Linked DNA regions of Daphnia pulex. The protein of the gene in region 1 interacts with the protein of each later gene in a pairwise test. Links are inferred from orthologs where the notes say so. Each region holds a gene or a part of one and is shown on either strand. Other genes may lie near its edges.

What was found.
Region 2: the proteins of S-phase kinase-associated protein 2-like (region 1) and cyclin-dependent kinases regulatory subunit-like interact in a two-hybrid assay, tested with the Drosophila melanogaster proteins (2 studies listed by BioGRID). The link is inferred for Daphnia pulex from reciprocal best matches to the Drosophila melanogaster genes Skp2 and Cks85A.

What each region holds. Positions count from the first base shown.
Region 1 is NC_060018.1:4,260,086-4,266,571, reverse strand, and holds S-phase kinase-associated protein 2-like, read right to left. Parts: upstream 4,392-6,486; 5' UTR 4,163-4,391; coding exon 3,647-4,162; intron 3,580-3,646; coding exon 3,477-3,579; intron 3,417-3,476; coding exon 3,108-3,416; intron 3,044-3,107; coding exon 2,881-3,043; intron 2,816-2,880; coding exon 2,632-2,815; 3' UTR 2,576-2,631; downstream 1-2,575. Other genes in the region: cyanocobalamin reductase / alkylcobalamin dealkylase-like, read right to left, coding at 1-43, 123-210, 276-470, 562-639; peptide chain release factor 1-like, mitochondrial, read left to right, coding at 987-1,344, 1,400-1,482, 1,541-1,763, 1,824-1,972, 2,044-2,145, 2,211-2,543.
Region 2 is NC_060022.1:674,361-680,652, reverse strand, and holds cyclin-dependent kinases regulatory subunit-like, read left to right. Parts: upstream 1-2,922; 5' UTR 2,923-2,979; coding exon 2,980-3,077; intron 3,078-3,153; coding exon 3,154-3,281; intron 3,282-4,095; coding exon 4,096-4,133; 3' UTR 4,134-4,279; downstream 4,280-6,292. Other genes in the region: E3 ubiquitin-protein ligase RNF8-like, read right to left, coding at 101-166, 237-430, 494-596, 654-896, 953-1,081, 1,151-1,666, 1,727-1,837, 1,896-1,990 and 1 more; DNA-directed RNA polymerase II subunit RPB7, read right to left, coding at 4,281-4,328, 4,390-4,527, 4,593-4,643, 4,712-4,871, 4,944-5,053, 5,123-5,134.

The DNA.
Region 1 (6,486 bases):
ACATCTGTTTTCTGATAAAAATAAACAGCACCTGAGACGTGGCCTGTTTGAACAAGCAATGAATTGAATTTGAATAATAAGCATAATTGAATAATGGTATATAAGCAATAATTTGAACAAGCCTGCTGTTTGAACAAGAACTTTTGGTCTTCTTGTTCCTGGTCTCATCTCATAATCATGGAGAATACTAATATCATAGCCTGGAATTGACTACACAAAGATAATAGAGTGATAAACTAATAAATAAAAAACAATGTTATTTAATCAAATAAAACCTGAATTGCTGTTTTAAGACAAGAGCTTATGGCTTGATCAAGGTAATCCTGATTATTGCTTCCAGTATTGTTACGAACAAATGGTATAAAGCCTTTTTCGAAAAATGAAGGACTACTTATCACCACAAAACAAAGTGTGTCTTCATGGTGTTCTAATTGAAAGCCAGATTTCACTCGTTCATTGTACCATCCAACCTATAATAAAGAAATGCATTTAACTCTAATTAGAAGTTAAAAAAATATTGCATAAAATAATTACTACACAAAGAAGCAAAATAAAAATTACCTTGAATGGGTGGCATTCTAACCCAAAATCATGTAAACATTCTGTAAGCTTTGTGTTAACTTCGAATAACGTAGTCATTTTGTCGATTACTAACAGAGTGCCATAGAGATATTTGTGTGCGATGCATATACTAGCCTATAACGGGCAGAGGATATTTTTTTTATCTCCAACGTATGATCGGTTTAATTGTGTAAATCAATCCCGCGCACACGCATGTTTCACGAATTCACACTGCGTGAATCAAATTTCAAAACAACAACTCTTTAAACTCACCTTCAGGTTTTTCTAAACAGTTGACTCACCAATCAACAAGATTCCAGTGTCGTCTGCTACCGTCAAAAAGGATTCACTGCGATTCACTGTGATTTTGATTTTGAAGACGTTGAAAATATATTCAAATTACCATCAAAGTTTAGTCATTAAAAATGGTAACTTGGGGTATTTCCAGTAAAATAGTACGAGTTCTAAGTGCCTTACGACGACCGTGTTTCGCCAAAAGCTATGCTAATAATGTAATATCCATTCGCTGTTTGAATCAAACCATTTCACATAGGAGTTTAAATCTCAATCAAGTATCATTCGAAAATATATTTGACCCGAGACTTCGAATTTTCTTATTAAATATCAAGAAAAAGTTTGATGAATCAGGATTTCAAAACATTGAATCAAAGTCTGGAATAGGTGTAGTAAACAAACAACGCATCCAATCACTTGCTGGATTAGGGGAAAAACTATTACAGACTGAAAATGATCTACAAGAGCTTAAAGCTTTGAGTGCAGATGGTAGGTGTATCTAGTTATATTTATTTAAAAATCTATATTAAATAGTGTATCTTAGATGATAAAAATGGTGACCTTGCAAAAATGGTCAGTGAAGAATTTTCACAGTTAAAGGAAATCCTAGTCCAGATCCAAAATGAAGTATAAATTCAGAGTAATCAAGTTTAAATGATTGATAAGAACCCATTCATTGATTTAGGTGTTAGAACTCATTTTGCAGGAAGATAATCATCAAACTGAGGGAATAATCATGGAATTCTCTGCCGGAGTTGGTGGGCAAGAGTCCATGTTGTTTTGCAATGAAATATTACAAATGTACATCACATACTGTGAAAGTGAAGGATGGGACTATGAATTAACAGATATTGAAAAAAGTGATTTAGAAGGTATTAGGCATGCTGCAATTTGCATTAATAATTCAGGTATGTCTTTTCAAAAATTTAGTTTAATATATTAGATACAACTACCTACTTTTTTCTCAGACGCATATGATCGACTGCAGTTTGAAAGTGGAGTACACCGGGTCCAGCGGGTGCCCAAAACTGAAAAGGCCGGACGTGTTCATACCAGTACGGTAGCCGTTGCCATCCTTCCCCGCCCTTCGGAAGTTTCCGTGACCATTGAACAGAAAGTAAGTTTACTAATACTTAATTCTGTTTCCTTGAATGCATGACTAACATTTTTTTTCTTCTTTTTTTTAAGGATCTTAAAATCGAAACAAAAAGAGCAAGCGGCGCAGGTGGACAACATGTAAATACAACTGAATCAGCAGTGCGAATTGTCCATTTACCCTCAGGTGTAGTGGTAAGTTTACCGAACTAACTGAAGTATTTCTCATCAACAATTAAATGTTTTACATTTTTAATTAGGCGGAATGTCAGACACAAAGATCGCAAATGCAGAATCGTAAGGTTGCAATGGATAAAATCAGAGCTCGTCTTTTCCAAATGAAAATCGACCAACAGTTGGCAACTACTCGGTCAAGTCGTAAGCTGCAGGTAGGATCTAGCGGTCGCTCAGAAAAAATACGGACTTACAACTTCCCGCAAGATCGTATCACAGACCATCGAATAAATTTCACTAGTCATAACTTAGGGGAATTTTTACGAGGCGCAAGGCCATTTCATGTGCTCATAGGAAAACTAAAGGAAGAGTCATACAAGGAACGCGTATTTGAATTTTTAGAAAAAATTAAAGTTTAAGTCCGCTGAATGCCAATAAATTGTTTTACCAGTTTTGAATACATCAATATGTATTACTAATTTTTGCAATAAACATGACTTGAATTTTTCACTCTCTGACTTTCATCCCCCAAATTGAGGTACGTCGAATTCCGACTGTAGGTCTTGCTACACTAGAGAAATAAAACTTGTTGATTTCTATACTCGGAAGTTTGGCGCGAAGTGTTCCAAGCATAGTCTCCGTCAATAAACCAAAAATGTCAAGGTATAAAAGACCACTCTTTTGAAACACCCTAAAGGAAATAGAAATGATTAAAATATCTTTCAAATTTTGCTCTCTAACGCCAATGTTACTTACAAATACACGGAGAGAGGCACGTTGTAACATCGAGCCATCGCCAAATATTCCAGTCGCTTTAAATTATCATGAATATAGCTGACACAAATTGATGTCACTGCTGTGGAGTCGCTTATGTCTAATTCCACCAGCTTTGGACAACGTTGACACAAGGCCAGGACATCTAACATAAAATTCGGCATTCAACTTTAATGATCACAAATTTCCAGTCAACATTACAAACTTACGTTCGTCTTTAAGTGTCGTTCGACAACCACTGATATTTATGCGTTCTAAGGATTTTGGTGCAGATGTACTAATCAACTGAAGAGCTTCAGAATTCAAGTCTGTCCAAGCTAAATTCCAACTGTCAAGTTTCTTACATCCATTCACAATCCATTTAAGTTCACTAACTCCAACACCATAACACATGGACATATTCAGCACTTCAAGCTGCTCATTTTGACTTAGTGCCTTGCATGCTCTTTCATCAACAACACAATGTTCCATACTAAGTTTCTTCAGGTTTTTACAAGTATCAAATAAATCAAATAAACCTGCATAATATGTCCAAATTTGTACCCTTATTCCTATAAATTATGACTTGGTGAGATTACCTTGTGTTGAAATAGATGCCATGCTCAAATCCAAAAATTGCAAATTTCGATACCTTGGAAATTCTTGAAGTAGAGGACTTACTGGATATATTGGATCACAAATCTGTACATTGTTTAGAAAAATTAAATATTAGTAGTTGATAACAAAGAAACAAACAAAAGTTAATTACCTCAGTCTTAGCTAGCCTCAAGATGTGTGCTCCTCTTAAAAGAACACTACCTAGAATCGTAGGTTTTAGGCAGGTGCCACTAAGGTCCAACCTCCTCCATAAAACTTCATCATAACACAGTCGTTTCCAACGCTTTGACACCTGAGCACATTTGGCGATAGTTGATTTTGGAAGCCATTTAAATATGCTGAGAATGACTTCGTCTGAGAGGCGTGAGAATCCATCAATTCCTGGGGGACCATCCATCCTCATTCGTTTAGACAATAAAAAGCTATCACTAGATTGGTCATCTTCAGAAAAATCCATTACAGCTGACGGGACAGCAAAAGGTGAACATTCTTTTCGCTTTACAGCAGGTTCAGGAATATTGGAGATCACTACTTGTTTTACTGATGGATTGCTACAGGAGTTTGAATCATCGTCCATTGCAGATAATCCTAGATCTTCCATGACTTCTATCGATACGTCATGGCAATCAAGACTCCACCGTTTAAACCCGGTATTTAACTTAGCCATATTTTGTAGCAACGGGGCAAACGACGAAATCAACAAAGGGAGAGAATTAATAAAAATTTTGGTACATAAAAGCGTACTGGAAACAATTATTGAGCTGAAATGTTTAACCAAAAGGCACTTCAAACTAATTACTGCGTTTATATTGAAAACGTGTAAAAGAAAAATCTACAATCAGCAACGTCCAAACTCGTCACGTCGCGCGCTAAAAAGACACTGTCTGTGGAATCCGATGTTGACCGTTCAACAATTCATTTCGGAAATTTAAAAAATAATGTAAGCAAAAATCTTAAAATTTACCACAGATTTTAACCAAAGTTACTTTTAATACTAAAGTAACGAAATTATTTAGTAAGGAAAGAAAAATATTCAATTTAGAAAAAAATAAGTATGGCAAAGACGGCGGGAATTCAAATTTGCCTGTGTCAATGCGATGATGCCTGTTTGTAGAATATTTTAACTGATTATTATAACTTTAACATTAAGAATATTATTAAAACTTTAACATTAAGTTACTTAGGAAACTTTGAACAGAGTAATGACTAATGAGTAATAGAAATATTCTAATTACTTCTGCTTAGGATCCAGGAACCAGTTTAAGGGACCAGGGAGGAAGCGAATTTCAAAAAAGATTCAATACAAATACAACTGAGTGAACCGACAGAATGATCACAGATGTCTATAGCTACGGAATCAATAACTTTTAATTTATGCAATGACATCGATGTCGCCAACGTGTATATTTATTCATTAACCAAACCCCGAGTCGTTTCGCGCAAAAGTATTTGTTTGGTTGGTGTTTTATTAACCACACTTTGACAATTTGATTAGGTTGAATAATGTCATATGTCAATTTATTCCAGCAGAAAAAAGGTGAAGACTAAGTACAGAATCGTTGACATTTGGATTTTTATACTTATCGAAGAACAAAAAAATATTGATTGACTTGAGGACATAAGAACACGAAAAAAAAAAACTAAATAAACATCGTATGATTTTAATGTAATTTACTTTAACAAAAGAATATCCAAGGCTTTATCGCGATCGTGTCCAGCAGCAACAAGCGCAGAGCTAATCTTACCGTGTTCAAATCCTAAAGCAGACAACTGATCAACTAACACTAAATGATGTTCTAATTGCGTTGGTAATTCCTTACAGGGCTTAAGAACGTCTAAAGCCGTTTCTATTCTCTCAATGGAATGGCCCGATTCTTCCAGTTTCTGTATTAGTAAAAGCTGATCAACAACATCCTTTTCGTTGGCACCAAGTCGAGCAATAGCACGAACTGCATTTTCTCTCACAAATCCCATATCTTGTAGCTGCTGGACTAAACGTTTTTCGATTGCGTTCAGTTTCCTTTCATACGGAGATGCAACATCAAAGTTTGGTTTAGGCACTGGTCTTTTTATAGAATCTGATGTTAAACGAGGAGGGGGAGTGCGAGAACTGAGTCTTTTGTCCGTCACACCTGTAAATGGCGGTTTATTTATAGGGGTTTCTCCCGTCCCAAAACTTACGTCAGAGAGGTCTGGGACACTTTTAGCTTGACGTAAGTTTTTATGTGAGATTGCTTGATTTTGGAATTCTACAGGTATAGCGATGTTCCCATGAGATAGCTTGTCAACACTAAAGAATGAACTTTCATTGGGAATCCAATTTGCTGCAGCTTCATATTGACGCACAGGTTGATGTCTCTAAAATAAAAATTATATTTTATTTTCTTTAGTGAAAAATAAAAACTAAAATAAGAAAAATAATATAAAATAATATGTACATTTTCAGTCCAAGATGGAATTGTTGATGGGTTATAGTTCTGATACTGTAGTCCATAAGATGGCTGAGGGCTGGGTTGGAGCAACATGGCTAATTCTTCTTTGTCATTCAAGGTCTTTAATTCCATTTCCTCAAAAGGATTTGTTGAATAACTCTCAAATTCAGCTAGATTGATAGCAGACATGTTTTCTTTCTTCTTGATTTCCACAGTCGAGCTTTGAATTGGAGTAAGGACTTCCATGGAAGCCTGAGTATGTTGTAGCAATTGCCCATTCCTTGCTTGCAAGTTGAGAACACTTAGTGAGGGAATGTTGTTAGTAAGACTGTTCAAGGAAAGGTCTGAAGTGATCTCTTCAATTTCCTTCTCATCGACAGCAGCTTGACTCTCTAAAAATGCAGATACACTTTGCTTTCTTCTTGTAGTCTCCTGTGTATGTAGATCTCTCATTGAGGCTATCAGCTTCAATGCACTTACTTCATCAATGAGGTCAATCTAAAGAACAACACATAAGGTGATCTTTGATCATTTTTTAAATTGGATCAATTCATACATT
Region 2 (6,292 bases), on another chromosome or scaffold:
GCTGATCCTGGATTCTCCCCTAACTTACTATCACCATCAAGTTTTACTACAAGTTTCTTTGCTTCAAGAGTTTTTTTCAAGTTAAACGAAAACTAGTTACCTTATTCTTTTTCCACTCTCTGACGCAGTGCTGACAGAAGGTATGCATGCAGTTCAAGGAAGTAGCCTAAATCAAATAAATAATTTAGAAAGATTATGAATTGCATAAATAAAAACAATAAAAACAAGATACTTACAAACACCATCAGCTCGGAACAAATTCCACATTGAAGCTCGTTTTCCATAATGCTTTCCATTTGACCAACAATATCGCCACAAGCTTTACTAGAAGCCTGTTGTTGTTGCTCATTCAGCTCTTTTTGGACACGCAACTCCTCGCGTACTCTTTCCAGTTCCTGTTCGGTTAAACTTGGCTGATTAATTGCTCCTCCTAATTGGTGCAATCGGTAAACAATCAAATAATTTGCTTAAGTACGGTATAAATTTGATATACCATCATCCATGACAACCACAATGTTTCCTGCATTTTGAATTTCTTGTCCTTGGTGAAGGAGTTGAATTGTTTCGTACATCTCAAGGCCGATGGCGGCACGACTCTAAAACTTTCTATGCTAAAGCTCTTAACTATACGTATAGTATATCTATAAATATACCTGAATTTCTGCAATTTGTTTTTCTTGAGCATTCAATCGTGCTTCACGTTCAGCCAGTTCTTCTTGCATCTGACGAAGTCTCAATTCGTCCTCACTGCCTTTTCGTTGAAATTGCTTCGCTTCTTCTTCAATTTTACGTCGTGCTTCCTCCAACTCTTGTTCCAACGATTGATGAGATCGCTTAATATGGGCCAGCTCATTCATAGTTTCTTCTTTGAGGCGACTCTCTTCTTCCAGGCGCTCCTGGGAAAAAAAAAAAAGATAAACAAATATTTATAAATAATTATTTAAATAGTTACTTGTAAGACGTTTTTTTCCCGTATGAGTTGCTGTACAACTAATTCTTTCTGCTCAATGAGTTTCTGCTTCTCCAAGTTGGCACGTGCGACACTTTCTTCGAATTCAAGTTTTTTCTTTTCGCATTCATCCTACAATAATAACATAACATTTTAGTATAGCGGCATTAGCATATACGGCCAGTCTATTAGTGAGATTACCCGAAATTCTTGCAAGCTAACTGACATCCGTTGTTCAACATCCTCTTTTTGTCGCTGTAATTCATTTTTTTCCAGTTCTCCGCGTGCGACTTTTTCTTCCAATTCTTTTTTTTCTTCAGCGAACTTCAATTCAAGTTGTACCTTAGCAGTTTCAAAGTGTTGGTTGAGTTTCTCCTGCTCCAGCACCAGTTTATCTTTGAGTGTTTTCTGTTGCTCCAGTTTTACATCCAAGTTGTCACTTTCTTCTTCAAGTGTCTTTTCGAGGTTTTTCTTAGAACGGACCCAATTGTGAAAAGCTTCTGGGGAATCTTTCAATGACGGATAATTTCGATTGGCGAGCGGAATTCGCATCTTCTTTGCAACTGGCTCTTCGCCTACTTCGGATGAATCAGACTGAACACGGAAAGCATACACATACTTATTACCGGCACCAAATTCGATAATATCCATGTTTTGAATAGGTATTTGTTGATGCTTTGGTAATGCAACGTGATTCACAGCAACACCATTCATACCCTTACAAAAAAAAATAATTAGATTTTGCAAGCCATTACGCTGTATAAAATAAAGACTTACCACGTTTTCGATGGTCCATTGATCTTTTATCAGTCGGAAAACGGCGTGTTTACGAGAAACTAGAAGATCAGCAATAGTGAAAGTATTTTCCTTAGACCGCCCAATGGAAACCTAAGCAAATTAGAGGGTAAAATAACAAACAGAAATACATTTTTTCCACTAAACTTACCTCATTACAGCCCAGTTGGATGCACTTGTAACTTGCATTTATATCATTGGAACCTATTCTTCGAAGAACAGCCCCAGGAATCTTTGACACAATTTCTAGAAAATAACAAAAAAAAACAAAAAATGAATACGATTAAATAACAATAAAATAATTTTCATTGTTTAAAATAAGCTGAACAATGAAATATGTTATTACTTAGAATACGTCAGGAAAGGATAACTGAGTATGTGTAAATAGTATTATATGGCTATTAAAAAGATTTTGTATGGTATAAGTCGTATAACATTGCAAAATGATTTGCACCAACACGATAATGCTAGGGAGATAATTTTAAAGCCTATAATTAAATGTAAGTGTACTCTCGTGTGCTACTCATGAATGATATTTGTTAAAATAAGCGGGGGACCCAAATAAAGTGTGTTTAAATCTTTTGATGACAAAATCAGCAAGACGAACTGGTGATTGCAAATGGATAAGCATGCATTTAAAAATTTTTAAAAAAGGTACCTTTGTTCATTATTTCTTGCTGGATTGATGCAGTTTCTATTCTACAGCATCAGGCACTTCTAGCTTCTAAATCAAGACAATAACGTTTGTCGATGTAAGAGACTGTTCTTGTCTGGACAAGAAGTTAAAAAGTAATAAATAAAAAAAAAGCGAAGAATTGTGATGAAGCCTTTCGGTTAACCCGACAAAAGCATAAGTTAATTGCCTTTCAATATGCAATAAAAAAAAGTGTATGGCTAATCAGACTTTATTCCACCTTCGTAAAATTTGTAAATGAGCTGATGATGATGATATCTAAGTAAGCAGACTCTTTTACTTGTTAAAGTTTTGAATCAAGAAGCTTCATTGCCACACCTATTAAACTACACCTTTTATCTAGTGAATTTGATGTCAGTGTATGCAAACATAGCGTTATATCATATTTTGGAAAGATTTTATATCATTAAATTTTTTATTTTTTAAAAAATTCATATCGCACATAATTTTTAAAACATAATAAAATATTGTCAGGGCTGCCTCTTTTCATTACCAAGTTGCCAAGTATGTCTTTACGTTACAAGATGGCACGAGAATCTTAATGCAGTTCAATTCACGAATCAAACAATTCAACAACATGCCACCTAATACGGAGATACAATATTCTGATAAATACACCGATGAAAATTTTGAATACAGGTAGTCAAGTTATACTTGTTAATGCATTATTGATGTAGATACTCATGTTTAAAGTAACACAATTATTTTCGTACAGACATGTAATTTTGCCGCCAGAAATGGCGAAGTTGGTTCCACGAACACATTTGATGACCGAAACGGAATGGAGAAATTTGGGAGTTCAACAGAGTCCCGGCTGGGTACATTACATGGTCCACAATCCAGGTTTAAATCAGTCAAATACCATTACATTTATAGACTAGGTGAACATTAAGTCACATGTCAAATGCCAATCATCACCTGATTGTTGTGATATGATTGCTGCTGTTCAACTTTGTTTTAAATTTCAGCTAGATCAGTGATTCACCTTGTTTTGCAATAGTCATCAAAACTTGTAGACCCAGTTCTTGATTCGCCAAACTCTGTCAAAGCACAATAAGAATAATGATTATTTTTCTTTCAAAGCCTTTTCTTTCTTGGGAATATCTTTAGTTTAAAAAATCATTTCTGTGTTACCTGTGTTTTTAATATATGTAGGATGGGATTTCCTAGCAGTGGTCATTCATAGTTATATATCAGAGAGATTATCAAAATAACTGTCAGGTGAGGAGAGAGAATTTCTTAAAGAGTTAGTAGCTGAAAAGTTTTATTCTGCAAGCTTTTTATTCTGTGTAGCCTTGAGAAATTTTCATCATATCACATCTCTTAAATTCTGGAATTTCTTCCGGATCTGACAACCTGGTGTCTTGTAATTTATGAGCGCATTTAAAAAAAATATTCTTGCGGTAGGAGCCGATTCATTTTCTTTGAACTGCAGTTTTCGAGATCAGATAAATTTTCGTCGTCGTCCTTGCGGAAAGCTTATGCTTTTTTGATTAGATAGGGAACGTTTTTCACATCATAACCGTATGCTTTCAAATTTTCTTCGTGTCGAAAGGTAGCTCCGTCCTTATTATCATTACATTCACAAATGTTTTTATACTGTCGTAGTTATTCTGTTTAGAATAATGATTTTAACTGATATTTGTTTTCTTTTCAGAGCCGCATGTCCTACTATTTCGACGTCCGAAAGAATGATTGCAACAAACAGCAATACCCAGATTTTCTTTGCACTATAAAATTGACTAATGTTACATTCCTTTTCTCGTTTAATTTCAACTCCATACGTTAACCTTCGAAAGTTCGAATAACACAGTGACAATACAAACATTGAATCCAAATAATTTAGCTGACCAAACCCAAGTAGTCGTCCATAAGTGTTCCAATAGCAAACTAAAAAGAACGTGTAAATGTTTAGTACACAACTGACTTTCTGTCTACGAATATCACTTACAATATCGGTGGCATCCACTCTCAAACCGACAATTTTTATGCGGATTTCATCGTCCTGTTGAATAACAACATCTTCATCCTGGGTTTTGTAGCAAGGTGGGGTTGAATTGGGGTCGAACTGCATGTCCGACGGAATCGACTAAAGTGAAATGAATAGTTAGTTATTTGGAGAGAAATTTAACATTTTTCTGAAAATACACATACGTGTCTGGATATGAAACATGAAAGAGGCCCAATTTCTGTGAAAAGCCCAACCTGCATACAGAAATAAAAAATCAGTTGCTTCAGAGAAGTTAACAAAAAATGAAAATAAGATTTCTTGCCTTATTGACTTGTGTTACAACTGCATCCAAAACCTGCCCTTTGAATGGTCGAAAGACAATTGCCTTGTACTTGACAGGGTAAACAACAAACCCTTGCCCAGGCTGAATGATACCAGCACCAATGTTGTCGATAGTGGTCACTGCTATGACAAATCCATACCTAGTTTATCAAAAACAAAAGTTCACAATGCCTAGTTTCATATGATCATATTACATCAAAACGAAGAATTACTTTCCAGTGCAAGTGCCTTCAACTTCTGTAAAAAGCTTTTGTTTTACAGTTTCCATCAATTGTGGTCCGAAATATCGAGGATGCAAAAGAATTTCGTGTTCCAAAGCAATCTGCGAAAATCAACAATTCAAACTTAATTGAACGTCGAAACCAGATCAAAATATTATGAAGTAGTTTACATGATAGAACATTCTGGCGGTGTATCAAAATTTTGCCGTATGTTCAGAACGTGATTGAACCTTTTAGTTCTTACGAATTTCTCCTGAAAATAACCCAACTTTTGATTCGAATTCGATTAATTAAATAAAATAACCTTGACTGAAATCGCCGGAGATTGAGAAAACGAAAACAGAAATTGAAGAAAGAGTGAAGGATTAGACTAAACAGTAACCTAGAAAAACGACGCCCGGAAGAAATTGATGTATGCACTTAGCACTATCGATAGCTAAAATTTTACTCAATAATCGATACACGCCAACCAATAAAGAAAAAGTCGAAATTCGATCATCTGTCAATCTGGATTCAGATCACCTCTCTTTTTTTAACCTCGTTTCTCAAAACCACTCAAAACCAATATCTTTTTTTTCTCCCTCTCTCTTTTTATTTTACAAATTTACATACAGAGTTGGGGTAACATTCACTTCACCGCTAAAAATAATTCGAGATAAAATTTAACATGATAATAAAATATTTCTGGAACGCTTATATCATTCTGAAATTTAAAAATAAAATTGTGACATAGTGTTAAAAAAAACTGGTTCTTCAACTCTAATTATTATTAAGGTCATACACAAGTTACCAAATGCGCAATTCTTAATAAGCCTAGAGCAATCCATATGCCAACGCCCCACCAAATATTATATACTCTGAAACCAAGAATAATCCCTAGGATTTTGACGATAAGTAGCTACCTATTTCTTTTCCCAACACGCACAACTTCTTGCGTCTTGCCCGAAAGGTGTTCTCCGGCAGCACACGTGCAGCACAACAATGTCGATAATCCCAATTAAAATCCGATTTGACTTTCACTGCACCTTCATACTGTTGTGATCTTCCTGAATCAAGGTTGTTGCCAAGGTCGTCTAATTACCTATACTCCAAGTAATGAATAATTTCAAGCAATATACACAAGGTAAGTTTACCTTGAATTCAGTTTCTCTTCACGAGGACGATTTCTCCAATCTAAAAGTGCTCGTACCTACGTACGGCTTGAGTAGCTACCTGCTGAAACGGCTAAACTATCTCGAATTTTGTAACACATCTTCAATCTATTTTTATTTATTTAAAATGTCAATCATTGTCTTAATTTGTTTTAGAGCATAATTATAGGTTTCAAAATGTTGTTTGTT